Xenopus tropicalis: one gene and its partners. The protein of the gene in region 2 purifies or fractionates together with the protein of the main gene of each other region. This does not show direct contact. Links are inferred from orthologs where the notes say so. Each region holds a gene or a part of one and is shown on either strand. Other genes may lie near its edges.

The links.
Region 1: the proteins of zzz3 (region 2) and tada2a purify together in Homo sapiens (affinity purification with mass spectrometry; 4 studies listed by BioGRID and IntAct, with this or other methods). This does not show direct contact. The link is inferred for Xenopus tropicalis from reciprocal best matches to the Homo sapiens genes ZZZ3 and TADA2A.
Region 3: the proteins of zzz3 (region 2) and yeats2 purify together in Homo sapiens (affinity purification with mass spectrometry; 3 studies listed by BioGRID, with this or other methods). This does not show direct contact. The link is inferred for Xenopus tropicalis from reciprocal best matches to the Homo sapiens genes ZZZ3 and YEATS2.
Region 4: the proteins of zzz3 (region 2) and kat14 purify together in Homo sapiens (affinity purification with mass spectrometry; 4 studies listed by BioGRID and IntAct, with this or other methods). This does not show direct contact. The link is inferred for Xenopus tropicalis from reciprocal best matches to the Homo sapiens genes ZZZ3 and KAT14.

Annotation. Positions count from the first base shown.
Region 1 is NC_030678.2:76,073,088-76,076,587, forward strand, and holds part of tada2a (transcriptional adapter 2-alpha), read left to right. Parts: intron 1-623; coding exon 624-683; intron 684-2,163; coding exon 2,164-2,255; intron 2,256-3,500. UniProt on the Homo sapiens protein: Component of the ATAC complex, a complex with histone acetyltransferase activity on histones H3 and H4. Required for the function of some acidic activation domains, which activate transcription from a distant site. Binds double-stranded DNA.
Region 2 is NC_030680.2:80,371,329-80,375,510, forward strand, and holds the start of zzz3 (ZZ-type zinc finger-containing protein 3), read left to right. Parts: upstream 1-1,382; 5' UTR 1,383-1,620; intron 1,621-4,182.
Region 3 is NC_030681.2:127,107,754-127,111,555, reverse strand, and holds the end of yeats2 (YEATS domain-containing protein 2), read right to left. Parts: intron 3,730-3,802; coding exon 3,528-3,729; intron 3,367-3,527; coding exon 3,143-3,366; intron 2,546-3,142; coding exon 2,471-2,545; intron 1,130-2,470; coding exon 1,056-1,129; intron 943-1,055; coding exon 819-942; 3' UTR 501-818; downstream 1-500. UniProt on the Homo sapiens protein: Chromatin reader component of the ATAC complex, a complex with histone acetyltransferase activity on histones H3 and H4. YEATS2 specifically recognizes and binds histone H3 crotonylated at 'Lys-27' (H3K27cr).
Region 4 is NC_030681.2:38,352,461-38,356,575, forward strand, and holds the end of kat14 (cysteine-rich protein 2-binding protein), read left to right. Parts: intron 1-2,163; coding exon 2,164-2,354; intron 2,355-3,157; coding exon 3,158-3,331; 3' UTR 3,332-3,615; downstream 3,616-4,115. UniProt on the Homo sapiens protein: Component of the ATAC complex, a complex with histone acetyltransferase activity on histones H3 and H4. May function as a scaffold for the ATAC complex to promote ATAC complex stability. Has also weak histone acetyltransferase activity toward histone H4.

The sequences.
Region 1 (3,500 bases), on a different chromosome or scaffold from region 2:
AGTAATCATGTCCCCTCGCAAGCGCCTCTTTTCCAGAGAAAACAACCCCAACCTTGACAGTCTCACCTCATAGTTAAAATCTTCCATCCCCTTAACCAGTTTAGTTGCACGTCTCTGCACTCTCTCCAGCTCATTAATATCCTTCTTAAGGACTGGAGCCCAAAACTGCACTGCATACTCAAGGTGAGGCCTTACCAGGGACCTATAAAGGGGCAAAATTATGTTCTCATCCCTTGAGTCAATGCCCTTTTTTATACAAGACAGCACTTTATTTGCTTTAGTAGCCACAGAATGACACTGCCTGGCATTAGACAACTTGTTATCAACAGATTCATATTTTAAAGTGCCTGAAATGTTGGTACCTAGATACTCTCCTATTCCTACAGATGTCACGTCTTTGGTTACTAGATCTGAACTAGGACTGATCGGTCTAAGACATGTGACATGTAACCAACCAGATGTTTGACTTTAGGCAGATACCCAACAGTCTGGTTTTTAAAATCCCATTGGGTGGAACTGCATTGACTCACTGATATGCTCCTCTCCAGACAGGTTCCTTTAATGAACAGTTCCAGTGTTTTCATACTGAACATGACTATAGTTTCTTTCTGTTTATTCTCTAGTGCTTCTCAAGAGGATTTGAATATAAAAAGCACCAAAGTGATCATAGCTATGAGATCCTGGTAATTATCATTCATATATTTTTCTGATGTGCCTAATATGAATTATGAAAGAGTTAAGTGTAATCAAAATGCTTAAAGGAGACTTAAATCTTTTAACCTAAATTATAAGGAGTCTTAAACCTCCACTCCAAATGCTGCAATAATTTTTTTTTTCATACTACTACTGAAGGGTTGAAACATTCTTTGCTCATATTTGAAAGAATTGCGCAAGACACTCACTGACTCTCAACATCTTGCTTTAGAATCAATCAGTTCTCTGGTTGTTGGGTAAATAAAGGCAATAATTTGAAAACCACAATAACTAGAAGACCATTTTTAAATTGTCTCAGAATAGCAATGACTAAGCCATACTAAAACATAACTGAAAGATAAGGTACAACTTTAAAAGAGTTTAAAATATTTTGCACCAGTCTAGTCATTAACTTTGTGTATATTGAATATCCATGAGATTAAGCACCTCCTGGTGAACATATCTGGTGTTGCGGGCTGCGCTTTGTATGTCATGAAATGCTGGGGACCACGCTGTGCCTGACATGTTGGGGACCACATGGTGATGGAATTCTTGGGCCACTTTGTCCCAGTTATGAAATGTGAACTATTGGGTCCATGCTGTGCCTGTGATGAAATGCTGGGGGCCACTCTGTCCCTGTCATGAAATGTTGGGGGCACTGTTCCTGTTGTTGAAGGCTGTGCTGGGAGACCAAGAAATGTGCAGGTCCCGGTATGTTTTGCCACGCTGCCCAGACTTTTTTTGTCCAAGGAACTGTCTTTATGGCCATTTGTTTGGCTTGCAACTATGACAACTTTTGTGAATTGCTGGTTAATGGTTTTCCAGTAAACTATACCGATGTAAACAGACTGACAGCTCTCCCCTAGATTAGGTGCTACCCCAGCTATACCCCTGTTTAGCAGATTAGTCCATGAATTCTGTGGCATGGATTCACAGCAGTGTCACACAGGGCGACTAATTGGCACTTCACAAGCTAAATCACACTCAGTAGCTAAATCACTGTGAGTAGTCGCCACTACAGAGTTTTTAAAAGTCACGGCGACTAATCACCCGTATGTCTTCGCACTTATATGTTCGCCAAATACATGCTTTACATCAAAGTGAGTGTTCCTAGGTGGCCCCCCCCACAGCATTTGTGTATGCCATAGGCAGAACTTCTCCTATTGATTTCAATGAAAAGCAACTGCAAGGGTGTTTTTAATCAACCTGTTTCTGCGTGCGCACACCTTAGTGGTCAGCATGCCTTTGCATGCCATAGACATAAAGGTACAAACAAAACCTGTTAAAATTAGACATAGAAAAGGCATAGACCCATATGAATACACTTAGTTATGTATGCACAAAAATCACTTTAAATAGGGTGTTATTTTAAAGAATTCACAGTACTAACCCTGACTATTATTTTTGATAAATGATGGTTCTTTAAATGAATCTTATGTATGTATGTACTATTTGGGATTTGTTTTCCAGACTTCAGATTTTCCCATCCTAGATCCGAGCTGGACAGCTCAAGAAGAAATGTCACTTCTTGAAGCAGTAATGGATTGTGGATTTGGAAACTGGTGAGCCTTGTTTTATGTCAGGGTTGTAGTGTATAGAGAACATATAGAAAAGAAAAAACATGGATTTAAAACAAATGTGGGAGAGCTCCAGAATTTAAAGGGGAACAAACATGAAAAAAGTTAATAATATTAAAAATATAAAGTCTAAACAAACATTTTGGCAATTTATAGTTTTTAAAAAATGTTGCACTATTACAGAGTTATGGTTAATTAAAGCAGTCTCCCATTCCCCACCCTCCAGAATCTTTGGCTCCCTGATCTGCATCAGTGACGCAGAATTATGTGAGTGACAGAGCAGAGTGAAAGCTGATTTGCTGTGGCATGTCATGAGGCCACATCACTCAACAGCAAACATGTGCAAAGGAAAAGTTAAGGAATGGAGCCGGGCTGGGTGCTGATTTGTACAAATAACAATAAAACAGCTTATTGTTTATATCCACAAAGACACGGAACTTCAGGCTCTTTTGCATTTGGGTTTTGTGTTGCCAGTCACCCTCCTGCAATTTACACACACAGATACAAATCTTACTTTAATAGCTAGATACAGGTGTAAAAAAAGAGTGTATAAAAGAGACTTCCTTTATACCAGTAACAGTGACACATCAATTGCAGCAATATTACTGACCTTTGCACTATCAACTGTGTGTGTACAGGCACATAGGTTCCTGTATGTTGGATTCAAAGACACCTCTCTCTGTCTTTAGACATAAGTCTTTTCTAGGTTTTCTATCAGATCTGAAAAATGGGCAGTTAGATATCGTCAAGAATGGTTGGACCATTGATAACTTATATTATTTGATCTTTATTAGGTGTTGTAAACACAAAGTACCAAACAAAGTTCTTTTTGCTTAATCCCTCTGGATATGAGATCCCTAACCAATAACCAATAACCATACCCAATTTAACTAAATTTCCACTTTAATTGTATGGACATTATACATTTATTTTCAACATAAGCACAATAAATAACAGGTATTAAGTTCTCCATTAAACTTAGTCTAATTAGTGTTTGTTACATGTCTTTGCGGAAGCTAGTGGCTGAAGCTAAACATGCACAAAGCTGGCCCTTTATACACCAGTGCCTTGCAGCTTATACAGTGCAGCTTCTGTTAAATTGTAGATTAGAGATGCTCAAAGCAGCTGCATATCCAAGCAGAGGTTGTGCTTCTCTGTAACTGGTGCGAAAGTTGGCATAATCGCCAGATCTTACCCATGAAACAATTTTATCTCTTTGTTTCTGCTTTA
Region 2 (4,182 bases):
CAATGATTCCGGCTGCAGGCATGAGTATTTTTATTGTACTTATTTGCAGGCTGACAATACGCCATGTACAGCCTTACCCTTACACAGTGTGGCTACTGTGGCAGAAGTAGTTGCAAAGTGTGAGTATAATGGCATAAAAATGGACACAAATGAGAAACACATAGCAACACATAAAATCATTCATAAACTGCAATATGAAATGATATTTATTTTGCGGCTTGTATATGTGTGATCCGGGCTGCCATTGGAGGGGGATAGTTGTCCCGGGCCTGGTGGATTTTGGATCTTCAGGGGGGCCTGGCTGTGCTGCACTTACTTGGGTGAGCTGGGCCCCCCTGCTGTTAGTGAGGCACAGACATCAGAAAGGAGGGCAAGAGCTTGGGTGCCTGCATCTTCTTTCTTCTAACAGTTTTCTGTGAGCTCATTTGTCAATGAAGTTCAAATTTCACCCATCCAATCCCCATGTGGCTTTCCAGGAGTTGTACAAAAAAAATGGATAATGCTTCACTATACTGTGCACTTGTAGTGTCGGGTGCAAGTGCTGCTTAGGTTCAACTATAACTCAACTAACACGCCGCAGCACTCCGATTCCATGTGAAAAGTGTTTATTGTGCCAAGAAAACCAGGCAACATTTCAGGCACCAGCCCACATTGCCTGGTTTTCTTGGCACAATAAACACTTTTCACATGGAATCGGAGTGCTGCAGTGTGTTTATCAGCGATTTACCAGAAGTTGTGTGACAAAAAAAAAAAGCAATGCAATGGGAAATATGGCACTGGATTCCCCATCCATTAAAACCCAGCAGAGGTGGCAACCCTACCCTTAGTTAAAAGAGAAATTGGTTTGTTCATATCTTACACAGCATGTTCCAGGGCCTGACTAGAATAAAATATGTCATACAGTGATGTCTACAGAGGCTTTAAACAGATCTATGGCCATAAAAAGTATTATCCCGTTGGACAGTCCATCACATTAGGATAAAGGTTACAATGCTGCACAAATACACTATCCTCAGTTGCTTAAACATACAGACCAACCCCAAGGAGATTTGACAAACGTTGAATTTCAAGGTGTGGAATAAAAGTGATTATAGTAGTTAGGGGCTGTTTAATTGATTATTAATTCTACTGGTCTCAGTACATCAATTTGCTTCAAGATGCAAAAAAAACCAAAACATTTTTATTCCTTTGTTTTTATTCCCTTTTATAGCCTTCGGTATTACATTGCTGGCCCAGCCCTTACACTTATGATGATAAAATGTTCTTAGAAGTGATCATGCTCAATTCGCTTCCCTCCATCCTTTTCCTGTGAAGCAAATTCAGTTAAAATTAGACACCGAGATCCAACCTGTAAACCATCAGCTGTTCTTCATGCTCGTTGTTATTATTCGCGCTGCTTTGGAAAGGTCTCCCGAGCACCGGCAGGTGGCGCCGCGGTGCCCAAATGGAGAGCGGCCTGTGGGAAGCGGAAGCGGTGGTGTAGAGAGCAGCGCTTCCTGCAGTGTGTGCGTGTGCACGGCGGCCTGACTCCCCTGGGGAGGGGGTAAGACAAGCTTTGGCTCAGCGTGGAGATGCGCCATGAGAGCAGAGAGTTTCCGGTGGTGATTAGGTTACACAAAGGTGAGCGACGTCCATGAGACCCGCCCCCTCTCGGTAACCGTGCCAAGGGAGCTATCTGGGGTTGCGCCTTGCGGCGGCGAGGGTGGGAGGTAGGTGGGGAACCCTTCCATCATGTGAATAAAGTGGAGCATTTATATAACAACCGTGCAGCTGCAGCTACAATGCAGCAATTACATTTGCTATACACAAGCCAATGTTAAAGGGACCTGTAGTTCTGCTAGAGAAGTAAGAATTGGCGATGCCTTGTGCTAGCATGTGAGCAAACAGCGCCCTCGCCCTTTCGCGGTGCGGTAATGCACCTGGACTCTGGGCGCAGGGGACTGTATCAGACACCACGGTGGGGCTTTATGGCTATCAGGCTGCATGTAGTAGTGAGTGGTGCCTGTTGGCTTGTGTGCCTTAGGGGTTTTTAAAGTACAATTGTTTAAAACACTGGCGCAGTCCTGAAAGGGGAGTTCACTTTTGAATGAACTTTTACAATGTTGCCTCTTTTCAGCTGAGCCTCATTATTTATCTTGTATGGTTTTCTTAACTATTAATGCTTCTGGTCTGCCTATTTTCTGTCTGCAAAAAATGCTTTCTGATTGTCAGGGTCAGTGACCCTGGAGCTAGGGAAGGTGGCCAATACATGGAATGCATAGGCACCATCAGATGTCGTTTGGATAGGCCTGTCAGGGTGCCCATACACAGACAGATAAGATGCTGAATTTGGCTGAAGGACCTGAATTTGCCCGTGCACCTTTACACCGGCATGCTAACTCTTGGTACACAGAAAATGTGCTTTCATTCGTCTTGTTGTAGGGGACTAGTGATAGGTATATTTGTCCTGTTTCCCTCCTGAAAATTTTGCTAAATGGCAAAAATTTGCAAAATGCAGCAAAGTCGATAGGACGGCTTGTAAATGCCTTAATTGAAATGCTATGTATTTTTTTTTCTTTTTAATAAAGCTCTTTGATAGCACTGGAGAGAGCATGCAGGGTGGATAATGATATTTTGTTTTTAAGAGTCCTGCCACTCATTGCTATTTACACAACTGTAGAAGTAAAAAAACACTGGAGGATCACTGTTTTACACAGTTTTTCAAAGGAGCTTGATTCCTTTAATGCTGTAGTTTTGAGCTTTTTTGCTAAAAATGAATGCAGTTTCCTAAATATGCATTTTTTTCGCTGCAATTCTTAGCAATCAGATGTGCATGGTCTGTTTGGTAGCCATTTTTTTTACACAGCATGATAAAAAGGCCCCAAGATGTTTGTTGTTGCCAGTGATTTCAAGCCTAGACTAGACAGCACAAATATTAAGTAAGTAAATACTGAAACTGGAAATTACTATTAATACAGTGCTATCTGACTTTTTCAGTTTAAAGGAAAACTATACCCCAAAACAATGAAGGTCTCTATAAAAATATATTGCATGACCAAGCTCTTATGTAAAGCCCTGCTTCATCTAAATCAGTGATACCCAACCAGTGGCTCGTGGGCAACATGTTGCTCTCAGTGCCCCCAAACCAGGGAGTCATTTTTGAATTCCTGACTTGGGGGCACGTTTTGACTGAATAAAAACAAGATTCCTACCAAATAAAGCCCCCTGTACGCTGATAGTGCGCATAGAGGCTGCCTAATAGCCAATCTTAGCCCTTATTTGGCACCTCCATGAACTTTTATTGTGCTTTTGTTGCTCTCCAAGTCTTTCTACATTTGACTGTGGCTCACGAGTAAGAAAGGTTGGGGACCCCTGATCTAAATAAACCATTTTTTAAAAAAAAAATATATATATACTTTTAGTAGTATGTGCTATTGGGTACTCTTAAATAGAAAATTGCCATTTTAAGAATTACGGGCTGCCTCCTGGGATCATAGTATTCACAGTGCACACAAAGAAGGCAAGGCGCACACACATGCTTAGTCACATAAGCCAATAAATGGACAGAGTTCTGCCTTTTGCCCACACTTCTTCCTGTTACAGTTAGTTTCATTATTTCTGGTCATGTGATCTCTGAGGGAGCACACAGCCCATCACTGAATGGTGGATCAAGGGAAAGGATGTTAGGGCAATATTTACAGATACAGTTTGGTGAGATTCTTTAATAGTTTATATTATATTAAGTGACCTATCTGTTGGTTAAATCTTCATTCTGGGGGTATAGTCTTCCTTTAATGGAGCAATAAGAAATATAGTGCACATCTGAAGACTGGATTATATTTAAATGAGTCAAAAGGATAATTCACTGGGGCCTTAAAAATCAATTGAAGAGCCAAATCTGGCTTGCTGGGCTCACAAGTAGGACAAAATAACTAAAGAAGTTATAAAAACAAGTTTTATTTTTCCTTCTTTAGCCTAATGATGCATAGGTCTAAAGTGCATCCAAATACCATATTTTCTAGAAAGGAGTTGGCCGAATCCTGAACCAAATTTGAACCCTAATTAGCATATGCAAATGATAAAAAAAATGCCAATTTTCATAGTCATAATTTTATTAGCACAGTTTTGGTTTGGCCAGCCACTTGGATAGTTCACAAGTACATTCAGTTGGGCTTCTGTAAATGGGGGGAAAAAAGGGTGCAT
Region 3 (3,802 bases), on a different chromosome or scaffold from region 2:
CGTCTTTAGTCAGTTACTGTACTGAGGTGAAGCAGATTCTTTGCCCAGGTGGCACATTTTCCCACCTATTTACTCTCCAATACATATTAGGGCTCATTTAAAAATGTGCAGCATGACTGCATCCTTGCAGTTGCACAAACATGGACTGTGTATATAGCATTAGTGGGTAACAATCAGGGCTGCAAAGTGAAGTCCCTAGATCTGTATTTTGGTGCCATATTGGCTTATAAAGCTGTCAGTAACTGCTCTATTAAAGCCACCCTTCAGCCATTTTAATTGTGAAGTCTGTAGGTGGCATATGAGTGGCAGGTACAACATGTTATGGGTGGGCTAATGCTAAAATAAATTATTTATGCATTTACTATGCTGATCTGGGGTGATCAATTGAAGTGCCTGCCATGTTCCTGAATAAAGAAGATTCAAATAGACAACTGAAGAACTGTATTTGTGACATATACACCATACAGTAATAGTTGCATATTGAATGAAACATTTGCAGCTGGTAGGTTAACTAGAGGGATTTGTGTTTTATTCACTTTGGCCTAGCTTGCACCTTGCATTATTGCATGCAGGGAAATACAAAAACTCATGTACATAAATACAGATCTGCATGTACACATAACAAATACATAGTTACAGGTTCTCTCACACACAGTTACACCGACATTATTTACATAAGAAAACAATTCGCGTAGGTTCTAGCTGTAAGACGTTGCATTTCATTTCTCAGTGAGAATGTCCAAGCCTCGGAATCCTCCATCCACTAGGTGGCAAACAGATGGCTCTGTCAGTAGTTTTCCTTGTGCCACTTTCACACCTTATTTTAAGGACTGCTCATCCTCCGTAGTTGATGAGGCCATGTGTTTGTTAGTGAGGAAGTCAAACATAGGAATATTACAGATGGCTTGGTGGATATTTGATACTGTGATCTCTTGTGGCGCTCTGGTAATGATGACAAAATAAAATGTGATGTAAAAACTCTGGGAAAGATTAAGCTGACCATAATAGAAAAATAAAAAAGTGACTCCATACATATTTGTAAGAGGATGACTTACCTATTGTGGGATGTCATCTGATAGGCTACTCCTAAAGCGTCCCGAAGGACGTCACTAACAAACTGTTCTGTAGCCTGAAGAAACCAGATAGAAACATGAATAGGTTATTGGAAAGAGAAATGATACAGACCTACTGTCTTTAAAAGGAAAACAATTGAATTTTGAATGCAATGCAATGTACTGCAGGCTGTGGGACTGTACATGGACTGATGTCTAGATTTAACCACCAGGGGTGTATTCAACTGGCAGACAGTTTTCCCAGTCTCCTGCCCTACTGTGTCTGTGCCTGCTCTACCCTGCCTGTGTGTGCCATACTCTGCCTGCCCTATGCTGCCTGTGTGTGCCATACTCTGCCTGTCCTATGCTGCCTGTGTGTGCCATACTCTGTCTGCCCTATGCTGCCTGTGTGTGTGTCGTACTCTGCCTGCCCTATGCTGCCTGTGTGTGCCATACTCTGCCTGTCCTATGCTGCCTGTGTGTGCCTTATTCTGCCTGCTCCCCATCATGGCTGGGAAATCACAACTAATCTTTGTTTTCATTGTGTTTTACATGTTTTCATCATCTTCTAAGTGCTGGTCTATCTTGAAAGCAGGTGAGGGCTATGATTATATTGTACATGTCCTGCTACCTTAAATGTATAATGAAGCAGAAGAATTCTTAACGAATCAGATGAAAGTGAGCGTAGGACTGGCCAGACCAGGGATGACTTTGATGTAGTTGGCCAGCTTGAATATATTGCAATATATGGACAAACAATCCCTGCTTTGCTTAAAGGGGAGGGCATTGCTTCGTAGCTTAATGCACAGAATGTTTTAATGTCCTATGGGAGGGTGCAGAGGACATCTTTTCTAATGATTTGAAATTTAGTGGTGAGCACAACTTTCCCTTTCTTTTGCTATAGTTTATACAGGAGCAGGGCAGCACAATGTTGTAACTCCCACCCTTTCAAGCTACAGTCAGGTGATCCCAATGAGCCAATAAAGGGGCAACAATTTGGGGGTTTTAACATTGACAGCAAATAAGCTGCTGGTAAAACCCAATCATTTGTTAAATGTATATTGAAGCAGTATCAGTAATCAATCTGATAAAAGTGAGTGTAGGACTGGCCATATTATATATATATATATATATATATATATATATAAATATATATATATATATATATATATATATATATATATATAGTCTTGTAAAGAATCGGCACTCACCAATATCGGGGCAACGGCTGGGTGCTGACAAAAATAAAGCATCAAACTCAACAGTAGAAAGCACTCACAGCTATAGCGTCAATCAAGTCAGTGATTTATTTCAGCATACCATCTACGCGTTCCGATGACTAAATAAACTGACTTTTTCTACACTATAATGCCGTGAGTGCTCTATATACATGTGCTATATATATATGCAACACTTACCTTTAAAATCATTTCTTCGACAGCAGATGTATAAATATTGTCTTGCACTTCGACTGGTTGTACTGAAACACCAATCTATAAACAGACCAAGCCATGGAAAAAAATTACTTTACTTGCTTATATAAAGGCCAAGCCATCAATGTGCCAACCTATGTAGTAAAAGTGCAAAGTTCATATATTCTGCAGTATCAATCACAAATGGAAAGGTTCCTTTAATAGCAAAAAAAGGAATGGTGCCTAACAGTGTAATATACACCATATAAATCTGAATGGGGAGTTCTTGCAGTGGGGCTGGGCAAAAACATTAAACAGAGCAACTTAACATGCCAGACTACAATTTAGAAGAAGGGACATTGCTCAATCTGCCAAATTACAGCTCTCTGGATTAAGAGTGCAGTGGCAACTGAAGAGACATAGGCTGGACATCCTTGTATTGAATAGTAGAAATAAGCAAATGACAAGCCTAAACTGTTGAAGGGACTGATCCAAGACAACCAAGAACCCCAACACAGGACCATGCTGTACACGTAGATAGGCTGATCATCTCTAGATTTATAGGTTTTTCCTGCAGGCCAACAATGGCATCACTGCATCTATCTATAGAGAAGCAGGCACTAAACACAGGATTTATGCTGCACACCATGATGCAGAGCCCACAGAATTAGGCCTTACCTCCTGTGCTTTATCTCTGATGAACTCACAAGCAGGACTGGTTACCATGTACAGCTTTGCATCTTCCTCTGCCTCACTCTCTTTCTTAATGTGCAATCTCTGTTCTTCATTGGCACTCAGCACATCCACATCTACATCCTCTTCTGTTTCCTTTTTAAACGTTTTCTCTAGTTCCTCCATTTTTTGGCAGAGAATGTCAGGAGCAGAGAATGATGTCTGTAAAGCTATAAAAAGGCCCCAGTTTTTTAGCTTATGTGTAACAATTCACATATATTTTAATGAACTCTTGCATATTTATATTTTTAATGATGAGAAAGAGTAAAAAACGAGGCTGAATCCAACGGAAAATGGACGTCACCTATTTCATTACCCCATATAAACGTACCCGCCTCATTATCTATACGAGCCAGCACATCTTCAATGGATTCCTTATCACTGCCCAGGCTCTCAGGATCAGGCGGTGTGTATCCATGTATGCGGCACCAGTGGACGATCTGTTTGGTTTTGAGCGGCGCCACATTACTGAACTTTGGTTGCTTTTCGATGATCTCCTGCAGCATTTTTTTCATTGTAACTGCTCGTTGCCACTGACAAAACAAAATAAACACAGTTGAGCTAATATAATACAGGTATGGGATTCATTATCCAGAAAGCTCCAAA
Region 4 (4,115 bases), on a different chromosome or scaffold from region 2:
GCTTCCTTTGCTGGTCAGTTTCCTTGCATTCCACAAGTGAGTATTTCCTTATAATCATGCAGGAGGATTATGTCACGGGGCGTGCTTCTCTTATCGCGTTGGCATGACCTTTTTTGTGCCATTTCCCTAATCTCTCTCCATTCTGAAGTGTCATTCTGCTGCTCTTCATCCTGAACTTCGCATTCTACCACTCTCCATCCTGTACTGGCTCTATATTACATTGTATTTGCTCTATACTAATGTACTGATATCATACTGACTTGGTACTGGCACTGCCTTAGTAATTCTGACACTGTTCTACCTTGGCTTTGTCAAGGAATCATATCCCACCAGAGCTACTTACCTTAACTGACACCATTTTTCCTGAACTAATACTGTACGCACTTGATTTCATTCCTCTGCTGGTAGCCGGTGACGCCTTATCACATCACTACTCACACCATGGCAAAGGGCAATCCAGAGGGACCCTCAGGCAGAAAGGTCCTACTGTGTCCTTCTGTTCAAAACTTCCCGGTGTGACTCCTTTCCAGGCTCAGGACTTGCCAGCTCTGGTCACAACTAAGGATCCAGAGGTGGTTTCCAATCCCTTGGTTGCACAAGAAGTTCCTGCATAGGCTCCCACTTCCAGTCAAGAACCTCCTCCATGGGCTATTCAGCTCTCACCAGGCATCTCTAAAATAGCAGCATGCCTAGATAAGCTACTGGACAAATTGGATCGCGACTGATCCGAATCTCTACACTAAATCCCTCAAACACCCTGCATCTCATAATCCTTTAGACTGCAGCAACACTGCTTCCCTCCATGCCTCCAAATCATTGAGTGAAGGAGAAATCTCCTCGGATGACTCTGGTGACACCATCCTAAATATCCTTCAGAAGCAATTGATTCCTTAATTGCTTCAGTCATTATGTGCCTCGACAGAATGCTCCAGAATAGCATCATCCAATTGGTGTGGGACCACCCTGAGAAATGTTTCCATGCCAACTGGCATTTTTAAAGCCCTTGAAAAAAGGTCCACTCTGCAGTCCGTGGAAATATCTTTCCAAGAATACAGCCCTTCAGTCCCAGATTCCTCTTATTTTAAGGATTCTATGGACAAAAAGTTGAAAGGGTTTCTCACGTCTGCCTTCCCATCTGCCTTCACATCTGCAGGGGTATGGTAGCAGGGAGGGTGATGGGTCTTCCTCTTCTAGTGTCCTGCCTCCTGCTGGGAGATATTATACATGCTCCTTGTGTCCCACAGACGTTCTGAGAGGAAAGGATTTAACTGTATCACAAAATCCCCCACTTTTTCGTTTATTTACATAAGCCCAATAAATATTTAGCACTGATGCCAGACCAGGTTAGGGTTCCTGTTGGGGAAAAAGGATGTGTGATGGGCAAAAAGATACAGAGGTTATATTGATTAAAGGAGTTGTTCATCCTGTTAAATTAACTTTTATTATAATGTAGAGAGTGCTAATTCTAAGACAATTTGCAATTGGTCTTCATTTTTTTTTATTGTTTGTGGTTCTTGCATTATTTAGCTTCCAGTTTGGCATTTTAGTAGCTGTCTGGTTGCTAGGGCCCAATATAACCTAGTAACCAGGCAGTGGTTTGAAAGAGACAGGCATATGAATAGAAGAGCGCCTAAATAGAAAGATAAGTAATACAAAGTAAAAATAACAGCACTGTAGCCTCACAGGGCAATAGATTTTTGGCTGCTGGGGCCTGTAACCCCCTTTTGAAAGCTGGAAGGAGTCAGAAGAGGTAGGCAAATAATTCAAAATTACAAAAAAAAATGAAGACCAGTTGAAAAGTTGCAAAGAATAGGCCATTCTATAACATACTAAAAGTTAACATGAAGGTGAATCATCCCTTTAATATTACATGTGGTTACAAGAGGCTGTTCTGACCAACACTATTGTCCATGGGACAGCGGCAGGCAGAGCACCTTTATCTCTACTTGGCAAACACAAGGGCAAATAATGAAGCTGCATTTGCCTCTCCTAGGTGCTAGAGGCTGCAGTAATGGCTGCAGTAATGGCTGCTGTAATGGCTGCTGTAATGGCTGCTGTATTGGCTGCTGTATTGGCTGCTGTATTGGCTGCTGTATTGGCTGCTGTAATGGCTGCTGTAATGGCTGCTGTAATGTATCTGATGTCTTTGCATTTTGGTTTCAGGCATTGACCTCTCTGAATGTTTGCAGTATCCAGATTTCAGCGTTGTAGCGCTGTACAAAAAGGTTGTCGTTGCTTTTGGCTTCATGGTTCCAGATGTGAAATATAATGAAGCCTACATCTCATTCTTGTTTGTGCATCCTGAATGGAGGAGAGCCGGCATCGCCACATTTATGATCTACCACCTTATACAGGTAAGCAGCAATACGAGGTGTGATCCCTTTAAAGGGGTAGTTCACTTTTAGTGTGTCATTGAATTCCTTATTCCTAGCAACTTTGCAATTGGTCTACACTATTTTTTTTAAGTTATTATATTATTTGCCTTCCTCTTCTACATCTTTCAAGCTTTCACAGGGGTAACTGACCCCAGTAACCAAAAACTATTGCTTTGTGTGCTTGCCATTTTATTACTAGTTACCCTTTATTCCTTTCCTTTCTATTCAGTCCCTCTGCTATTTATATTCCAGTCTCTCATTCAAACCACTGCCTGGTTGCTAAAGTAAAGACCCTAGCAACCAGATAGCTGCTGAACTTCCAAACTGAAGAGCTGCTGAACAAAAAGCCAAATAACGGGAAAAAAAACATAGGAATTGAAAACCAATTGCAGATTGCCTCAGAATATCAGTGTCTGTCATACTAAAATAATAATTTAAAGGTGAACTACCCCTTTAATATGGCTAAACCATTTTATCTTTAATGAGGAGCAAAAAAAACCCAGCAACCACCCTTTAATGTTTGCATCTTTTCAGCTCTGTTCTGGTAACTCCTAAAATAGCTCTATACTGTGACTAGCCCTACCCACATTCCCCTGCAAGCAGTTATATGATCCAGCGCCAGAAGTACCGTTTAATTGTCATTTCATTCTTTCAGTTTCCTGCTTGCTGAACCGCCATAAACTTGCCAGCTAAAATAGCAGTTTTTCTCCACCCACCCTTTTTGCCTCTGGCCAATTTCATCATTTTCTATAGAAATAAAAAACATTTTTCTTTCTTGGCAGACTTGTATGGGGAAGGATGTCACCCTGCATGTTTCTGCCAACTCATCAGCGATGTTGCTCTACCAGAAGTTCGGATTCAAGACGCAAGAGTACATTTTGGACTTCTATGACAAATATTACCCGTTGGACAGCAAGGAATGCAAGCACGCCTTTTTCCTTAGGCTGCGGAGGTGATGGAGATACATTAACCTAAATGCCTTGTGGGATATTTGGCAGTTTATTTCAGGGCAGAAAAGCCAATTAGTCTTTTGTAAGCTGCGCCTCACACGAAATAAAAACAATGTCAAAAGAATCATCTGTGTTTGTAAGAAAGGCTGCGACATGCATGGAGTAAATGGACCCTGTAGGAGCTAACAAATATTAAAGGGGAACCGCTATTATACCACCTATCGCTGTAATCTGTTCCTTCAAAAAGTATGAATAAATACCATTTTATATGCTGAAATCCAGCTGCAAAACGTGTTTTCTCTTTCTGCGTTATTTAAAATCCTGGTAGGGGAGGAGGGTCTAAAACTTTGATATTAAAAATTGTCCACAGTTTACAGACTGCATGCAGGAAGTACTTAACCACAATGCATTGCACTGCAACGTTCCCTTCCTAATTGACATAATGTGCGCAGGGAATTGTGGGATTTGGAGGATGCAGGCCGAGGAAAGTCAACTACTGTTACATTTTTTTTATTTTTGAGTTTCAAAGTAGTCAGCCAGATCAGCAGCAGAACAGGGGGAAAGGCTTAGGGAACTGTTCCACACCATATTATTACATTACAAATCATGAAAAGGCAGCATATTTTTAATTGATTTATATTGCAAAGTTGCTTGAAACTACTTTTCAAAAAGCTTGTGTTTGGGTGGAGTTCCCCTTTAAAGGACAAGGAAACCTGAACTCACTGGGGCGGGTGCCAATATTTTATGCCAGTCTGCACAATGGACGCCTGGGAAGTACAGGTAAGATGGC